Linked DNA regions of Drosophila melanogaster. The protein of the gene in region 1 purifies or fractionates together with the protein of each later gene. This does not show direct contact. Each region holds a gene or a part of one and is shown on either strand. Other genes may lie near its edges.

Region 1 (3,740 bases):
CTGCAGCCTAATCCACAAATCTTGTAGAATCACAGACTGTCAACAGTCAAGGCTGCAGAGAAATATACCCATTATGGCGACAACTGGGACCGAACAAACTGCATAATAAACGTTGGCGTTGACAAACTGCATAATTGGAGCTAGTTTTCAATATATTTGCGCCTGCCCACGTATACAAGTGTAAACTTTGAAAAGGAAAAAAAAAAAACTAAATAAATAAAAAACTTAAGCAAAGTCAAACTGGCCAAGGCCAGTGAAAAAAGTCTCACTTGAGTGGAAATGTTAATTAATTAATTTATGAAAAACTAGTTAACGCAATTAAGCAGCATGCACGAATCTAAAAATGTTAAACAATGACCGGCAGTAAATATATTTTAATATGTAATTGGATTCAACTTGAAAGCACTAGAAGTTGAAAGTAGAAACATTGACAAGTACTTGTGTCATTAAAACTTGTTCTGCTTAAGCATATTCGGTTATGGAAAATGGAAGGATTTCGCACACTCACTTGGTGCGCTTCGTCACTACGTGGACTGTTCTTCACAGTGATGTAGCATAATTAAGCCAACCAACTGGATTTTAATCGTTACTAAAGCGATGTTTCCAACTCATGTGATATTATTTTTAATTTTCCCTTAAACAGATATGTTCCGTTTGTTGGTTCTTGCGGCCTGCCTGGCCATCAGTGTCCACGCCTACTCCGATGGTGCTCCAAAGGTATGAACCTGCCCCATCGAAATACATGACGGATAGATTCCTTATATTCCCATCTTCATTATCCCAAAGGCCGCCTGTCGTGACCTGACGCCCCAGCACGGAGCCAAGCTGCAGGTGACCAAGCCGCCGTACAGCATCTCCGGACCCTCCCATGTGCGCTCGGATCAAAAGCTGACCCTGACGCTGGGCGGCGATGAGTTCCTTGGCTTCATGATCCAGGCACGCGATGGCCAGAACCGCGTCGTCGGCCAGTTCCAGGTGGTGGACTCCGTGCACTCGCAGACCTTGGACTGCTCCGGCAAGGACGACACCATCACCCATCTGAGTGCGCAAAAGGGCAAGCCGCTGACCGGCATCACCTTCGACTGGATTCCGCCAGCAGGCTACAAGGGCAACGTCAAGTTCATGGCCACCGTGGTGCAGACCGGATTCGTTTACTGGGTGGGTCGCGTCACAAAAGACATCGATGTGGAGTAGTGCTTGTGATAGATGTTTTCATGATTTGTTCAAAATCCTACAAGTCTTTGTTTAGCGTTAATGTTCCGATTAGCTTTGGAGCGTAGTATTTTTGAAAATAAAATCAAAAAGTTCGTTGATAAAATGGGAGTGATTTCAATTGTGGGACTCTCTGTCTAAGAATGCTTAGTAGATTTGAAAATAAATATTGGAAGTGTTTCACACTTATATTTAAAAAGTGTATGTGTATGTTATTGTGTATGAACCAGCACACTTCCTAAACATATTATGAAATCAATTGCACCTAGAAAAGTTATTATATTTTCCTAGAAAACAAATGCTAAATTTATTAAATTGCTGTTCCGAATAACGGTCATTATTTTCAAAACCGATAACGATAATTGTTTGAGTGTCGTATACTCCAGCTTTCAGTTGGCCCACTTGGTCAGCTGTTTATCGCCGCAACATATCAGCTGTTTTCCGCTTGTTTTATAAGTTGAAGAACTTTATTTTCTGTCTTGATTCTGTAAATTAAGCAAATTCGGGATGATTAGAAGCCTTCTGCGCAGCTTTGAGACGGCACTCAAGCTGCATGCCGGCTTAAATATGCACCCAATGCACTGCAGCAGGCGCCTACTCTTCTCGCAGTACGAAAACCGCGCCAGTCCGAGCAGACTGACCTCCAGTGGCACTTTAGGTAGCAACGAGGCGGAAAACGATTATGTGCCTTATCGCCAGGATCGGGAGACTGGAACCAAGACGCGGGTGCTCCTCGAAGCTCTGCGGGAACGTTTTCGCTTCACGGACGCTGAGCTCCAAAAGATAATCAGCGACGAGCTGGTGCACCGCTGCTACCGCGGTAGATCACTGACTCTGGTCATGGACACACTGCAGCTAGAGGGCGTTAGCAGGCGCAGCTTCGTGGAGTATCCTTGGCTACTGTCGCTGGACAATAGTAAGCTCATTTGCTTTATATCCTTTATGTGATTAAATCATCGGTTATTTGTTTATCTATTCAGAACGCTTGGAGCTAAAGATGCAGCTACTCAAGTCAATGGACTTTAAGGACATCAATCATTTTGTGCCTTTCCTGCGCCTCACTGTTCCACGTCTTCGAAAACTGGTGGGTGCTCTGAACTCTGAGAGGGATGCAATGCCACAGCGAAATCGTGTCTACTATATCAGCGAAAAGCTGGATGTCAGCCCCGATATTGTGAGCAAATATCTATCGAAGAGGCTGTTTATCCTGGAAATGCCGTTCGAGATGTTCGAAAAGAACCTGCAGCACATGATCGACTACAATGTGTCGCCAATAAACGTACTCAAGGATCTATGGGCCTTTCGCTATACTCCAAAGTCTGTTCAGTTGCGTTTGGAGCGCGCCAAGCGGGCGAAAAAGGACAAGATCATGCCGTGGATGGTGCGCTGCCCGGAGCCAATACTGCAGCGCTCCCTGAAGCTTTCTCTCGACGAACTGAAGGTTTTGGGAGAGTTCTCCTCCGTGGTGGAATACTTAGCGCATCGTCTTGGTTTCAGCACCAGTGAAGCCAAGGCAATCATGGACAAACATCCGCAGGTGCACACCGTGCGAGTTACCAAGGTAAGTCACAATGGGTTAACTCAAACAATCATAAGCTATACAATTTTGCCTTCAGATCAAAGAGGTGCTAGACTACCTACTCGATGAGGCCCAGTTTACCAGATTTGAGGTCGCTCAAAATCCTCGAATTCTATGCCACAGCCTGAAAACCACAAAGGAGCGCATGGAAGAACTGAAATCGCACGGTTGTCGACCCTCCTCTCTTGTAATTCTTTGCCGCAGCCGGAGGGAGTACGATAAGTTTTTGCAGAACTGGATAAGCCATGAAAGAAATCCGCAAAGTGTATCAGAAGGATGATGAACTGACGAATGACCTGATGCCATCACCGTGAAAGCTTAAAAAGTTGTTGTAAAGTTAAGATACTTTTTTCAAAAGTTTTGCCACGAAATTGAACACGATTAAAAGCCAATATTCAAAAAACGTTATTAATTACGACCAGGGGACCGCTGTTATGATGGTATCTTCATTTTTAAAGGACCCTTAACAAGTAAGGTTTCCATAATATTGTAAGGAAACCAATCAGGGAACCTTTTCGATTTCAATAGGTTTTTTAACCACCAGTCGGATTACTCGTCCTGCGGACAGAAAGTTTAGTTTGTTTAGTTTGGACGACTCTCTGCAGTCATTCTACCACTTCGGATGGCTTAATCAGTTGGAAATTTTCTTTCAACATTTATAAACGCAGAACAAACCAAATTGCAAACTTAGTTAATTAGAAAATTCCAGAAATGTTATTGCCCCTCCACATTTTCACCGTTAGCGATAAAAATTTCTTGAAAGCAAAAGGCAGCTAAATTATTTATGATGTTTATATTTAGCGAATGAAGTATTTTTCAATATTTTGATTGCTTTACAAGAATAGAGAATATTCTATATCTAGATACATAAACTATTACTGAGGTTCAAATAGAATATTGCTAACTGAGTTGTGTATAAAAGACTGGTTACTTTGGACGTGAAGCCACT
Region 2 (3,753 bases), on another chromosome or scaffold:
ACAAGCTATTTACAATTATATTGGAGGCACCTACAAGCGCTCCATAATCATTTTCTCTGCAGGCTTTACGCCGTACTTGTAGACCTTATTGAGACTTTCCGGAAAGTCGGGCAGTAGATTGTTGAAGTTCTCCACGTGATGTGTATGCTGCTCCGTCCAGATGCCGTCGCCCGTGAAGTGGAACTCCGATTCGATTAGGTAGAGAATGAGAGTCAGAATTTCGTTGTTGCTTAACGAATCGAAATTCGCCACTGGCAACTGCAGATCTTCTTGCGCATCGGGTGATTGCAAAAGGAGCATTTTTTCTTCAATACGTTTGCTGTGTAGAAACAAAAAGTATTAGGGCAAAATCGCTTGTAAATTAATTGTACCACTCACATGGGATAAAGCAGCAAGTGTATGTTCGCAAATATCTCATTAAGTTTAAACTTTTTGCTGCGTAAGTACTCCAGACACTGCTTCACGTGCAGCAATGGTATATGGCACCAGTTGGGATGGCGAGAGAGAAGATTGCGCAGCACTTGCACGTCCTTCCCCAAAACATTACTCAAGTAGACGACTATATCGCGGCCTTTAGTACGATCTGAGCCATCTCTGGCAAATCTGGAACATGGTTATTTGATTAGTCAGTCAATAAGCTGATAAGATTCTTACTTAGCGAACGCCTCGGACCCACAAGAAAGGATGTGCAAGGAGGCGCACCGAACCCGCAGTTGATTGAGATAATCCAGACGCAGTCGCGCCTTGTTCTGGTAGTGGACCAGTCTCAGGATTCGCGGATTGGTACCCAAGACTTGAAACTCCTCGATCTCCTGCAGATCCCTTAGTCGCTCCAGAACCGTATCCGGTCCAAGGGTGAGCACTTCCAGGCAGCGGAGAACGGCATCCTCACTGATGCCGAAAGCGTGGACGTGCTGCAGTGTTTGCTTCAAGCTATCGCAGGTGGACATCAAAATCTTGGGTCTGCGAAAGCCGATTTCTCGTATGTCCTGCGAGTCAATGGTAGGCACCTCTCGCAGGATGCGCCGCACGTTATCTGCTTCCGAATAGAGCAGAAAACTGTTCTTCCTTAGCCGCTCGGCGGAAAAATTAAACTCTTTGGTCAGCAGTTCAATGGTGTCCTGCACTGCTCGAAAACTCTTGTGGCGGATGCGCGTGTAAACGCGCCACAGCTTCTGTAGATCGTTGTCGTCCATCTGGAGACGTTCACGCAGGTAAGCGTTGATCAGGGATTGTCTCAAGCTCTTCAGTGTGAGGGTCTCACTCTCCAGCTCCCGTAAATCCACCGGCAGCTTGATATCCTTAAAATATCCCGCCAGACGCTCCGCCACCTTCACATCGAAGGGGATGTAATTATGTGCCTTCAAGACTTCTATCGGCTTGTTGACCACCGTCACATACTTGGCCAGCGTTTGGACAGTCACGTTGTGGAAGCCGCACTCCTGCAAGACACTGTGGCGATTGGCCAAAGTGGTGGCGCCATAATAGATGATCATGGGTTTCGCTATGATGTCGTCCACACTATAGTCCAGTGATTTCAAAGTGTCGTAGGAGCTTAGCAAGTCCTTGCGCTTTAACGTCTTGAGCTCTGGGTGCTTCTCTAAGGCTGCCGCCCAAGAACGATAGGAACTACCTATAAAGACGCAATAGTGACTCCCTAAATCAACTTTAAAGCCTTAGCTTACCCAGAGTTTTGGACAAATAGCTGGCATTCAGCGGCTCTTCCATCGGAATCTCGACTGTCGGTGGCTTTGGCAGTTTTGGCTTGAGATCCTCCTTCTTACTGCTGACCCGTTTCGAACTGGCCATTCCCCGCGCCAGCTGTCCAAGGCTCCGGGCCAGCAATTGCGCTTGATTCTGGCCGTTGCGCAGCATAATTATAACATTTCCCGCAGATTTATTTACAAACGGCAAAGAAACGTAACTGTTATCGGGGTGAATGACAACTGTTGCAGCTAGTGATGGGAGCACATATATACAAAGGGAAAAAATCAAAATATAATAATATAATATAATTTATATTATATATTTAATATTTCTAATATTATTTTGTTCAATGTTTGAGTTGCAAAAAGGCTTTGAGTGTGCAGAAAATGTATTCTCCCTTGATCTTGTGGTAGGTAATCAACTATCGATACGGCCGGCAAATCAATTTCATCGATACGACGACGGTTGTTTTCACATCCCTAACCCCGCAGCGTTGTTACACGTGCGCGTGAATTATAGTTTATTTGACTTGGTTTTTATTTCAAAACATTTAAATATGTCGCTTTTACGCATCAGGTAAGCATTGGAGATGAAGCCCATGAAATGCAAATGAAATCAAACCAACTGCGCTTCCAGGAAACCAAAAACCCGCAAGGGAAAGAAGGTGTTGCTGGCCAGGGAGCCGCAACTCATTGAATCCGCCCGCACAATGCTGTTTTTGGACGGAAGGAAGTGCGGCGGCAATGTGAAGCTGTGCATGAAGGACCTGCAGGCGCTGAAGAAGCCGCTGGTTAAAGTGCTGAACCGCAAAAACGACATTACCCCCTTTGACGATCCCTCATCTCTGGAGTTGTAAGTTTGGACAAAGCAAACAACTAAAATGTAGTGTATTTAATTGTAAACATCATTCGAATCACCAGCTTGACCATGAAGAACGATGCTGCTTTGTTCACGTTCGGTTCCACGTCCAAGAAGCGACCCGATAACATTATACTGGGCAGGATCTTCGAGAACGAGGTGCTGGACATGTTTGAACTGGGCATCAAGCGGTATCAGGCGATTTCCGAGTTTAAGAACGAGAAAATCGGAGCCTGCGTCAAGCCCTGCCTGGTGTTCAATGGTCCGAAATGGGCACAGACCGAGGAACTGAGGCGCCTTCGCAACCTGTTCATCGACACCTTCCAGCGCGAGAAGGTGGATTCGATCCGGCTGCAGGGCATCGAACACGTTCTGAGTTTCACGGTTACCGATGACATGAACATACTGATGCGTTCCTACCGGATACTGCTGAAGAAATCTGGCCAGAGGACGCCGCGCATAGAGCTTGAAGAGATCGGACCCTCGGCCGACTTCTCCATTCGCCGCACCAAGATCGCCAGCGAGGATCTGTACAAACAGGCACGCAAACAGCCCAAGCAGTTGAAGGTGGGCAAGAAGAAGAACATTAGCACAGACGCCCTGGGCAACACCAAGGGACGTGTCCATCTGGGCAAGCAGCAAACGGGCTCCATTCAAACGCGTCGCGTCAAGGCGCTGCGTAAGACGCCGGAGGAGAAGAAGGAGAACCGACAGCGCAAGAAGGTTGCTCTGAAGGCGGCCGCCGCCGAAGCACTGGCCTCACAAGGAAACAATCCCTTCTCTAGTTAATTTTAGTTGTAATAAATTGGTCCTGATTAAATTAGCTTTAACAAGTGTATGAGTTCTGGAGTCGTATCAGTGTATTCCGTCGACAATATTGCGAATGCGCCGCGTCTTGGACTCGGCCAACGCGTCCTCCAGCGTTTTGATCATGTGCACCAGACTGCAGACATCCGTCTGCACTAGCAAATCCTTTCGATGCAGCCGCTCGTCCTCCTGCATGGCCTTCAGCTCCTGTTCGCTGCGCCCGGAGATGTCCACCGCCAGCAGCTCTCGGTTTTCATTCTTCGGTTCGGTGTGCAGATATAGCTTCATAGTCACCACCACCTGACACTGATCCAGCAGGCTCCGCGACGCGGTGCGCACCTCCAGTCGCCAGTCCAGGTTGACCAGCCGATAGGCACGTAT

The links. The genes of interacting proteins can lie anywhere in the genome.
Region 2: the proteins of mTTF (region 1) and mTerf5 fractionate together in Drosophila melanogaster (co-fractionation; one study listed by BioGRID). This does not show direct contact.

What each region holds. Positions count from the first base shown.
Region 1 is NT_033779.5:14,346,686-14,350,425, reverse strand, and holds mTTF (mitochondrial transcription termination factor), read left to right. Parts: upstream 1-1,635; 5' UTR 1,636-1,719; coding exon 1,720-2,128; intron 2,129-2,192; coding exon 2,193-2,773; intron 2,774-2,828; coding exon 2,829-3,071; 3' UTR 3,072-3,187; downstream 3,188-3,740. Other genes in the region: l(2)34Fc (lethal (2) 34Fc), read left to right, coding at 646-717, 787-1,194. UniProt on the Drosophila melanogaster protein: Transcription termination factor. Binds promoter DNA and regulates mitochondrial replication and transcription.
Region 2 is NT_033777.3:18,221,556-18,225,308, forward strand, and holds the start of mTerf5 (mitochondrial transcription termination factor 5), read right to left. Parts: upstream 2,128-3,753; 5' UTR 1,876-2,127; coding exon 1,686-1,875; intron 1,634-1,685; coding exon 655-1,633; intron 604-654; coding exon 379-603; intron 320-378; coding exon 31-319; 3' UTR 1-30. Other genes in the region: Non3 (putative nucleolar protein 3), read left to right, coding at 2,264-2,283, 2,344-2,559, 2,628-3,354; CG7168 (uncharacterized protein), read right to left, coding at 3,421-3,753. UniProt on the Drosophila melanogaster protein: Binds promoter DNA and regulates initiation of transcription. Regulates mitochondrial replication and transcription. Required for normal topology and maintenance of mitochondrial DNA (mtDNA) levels.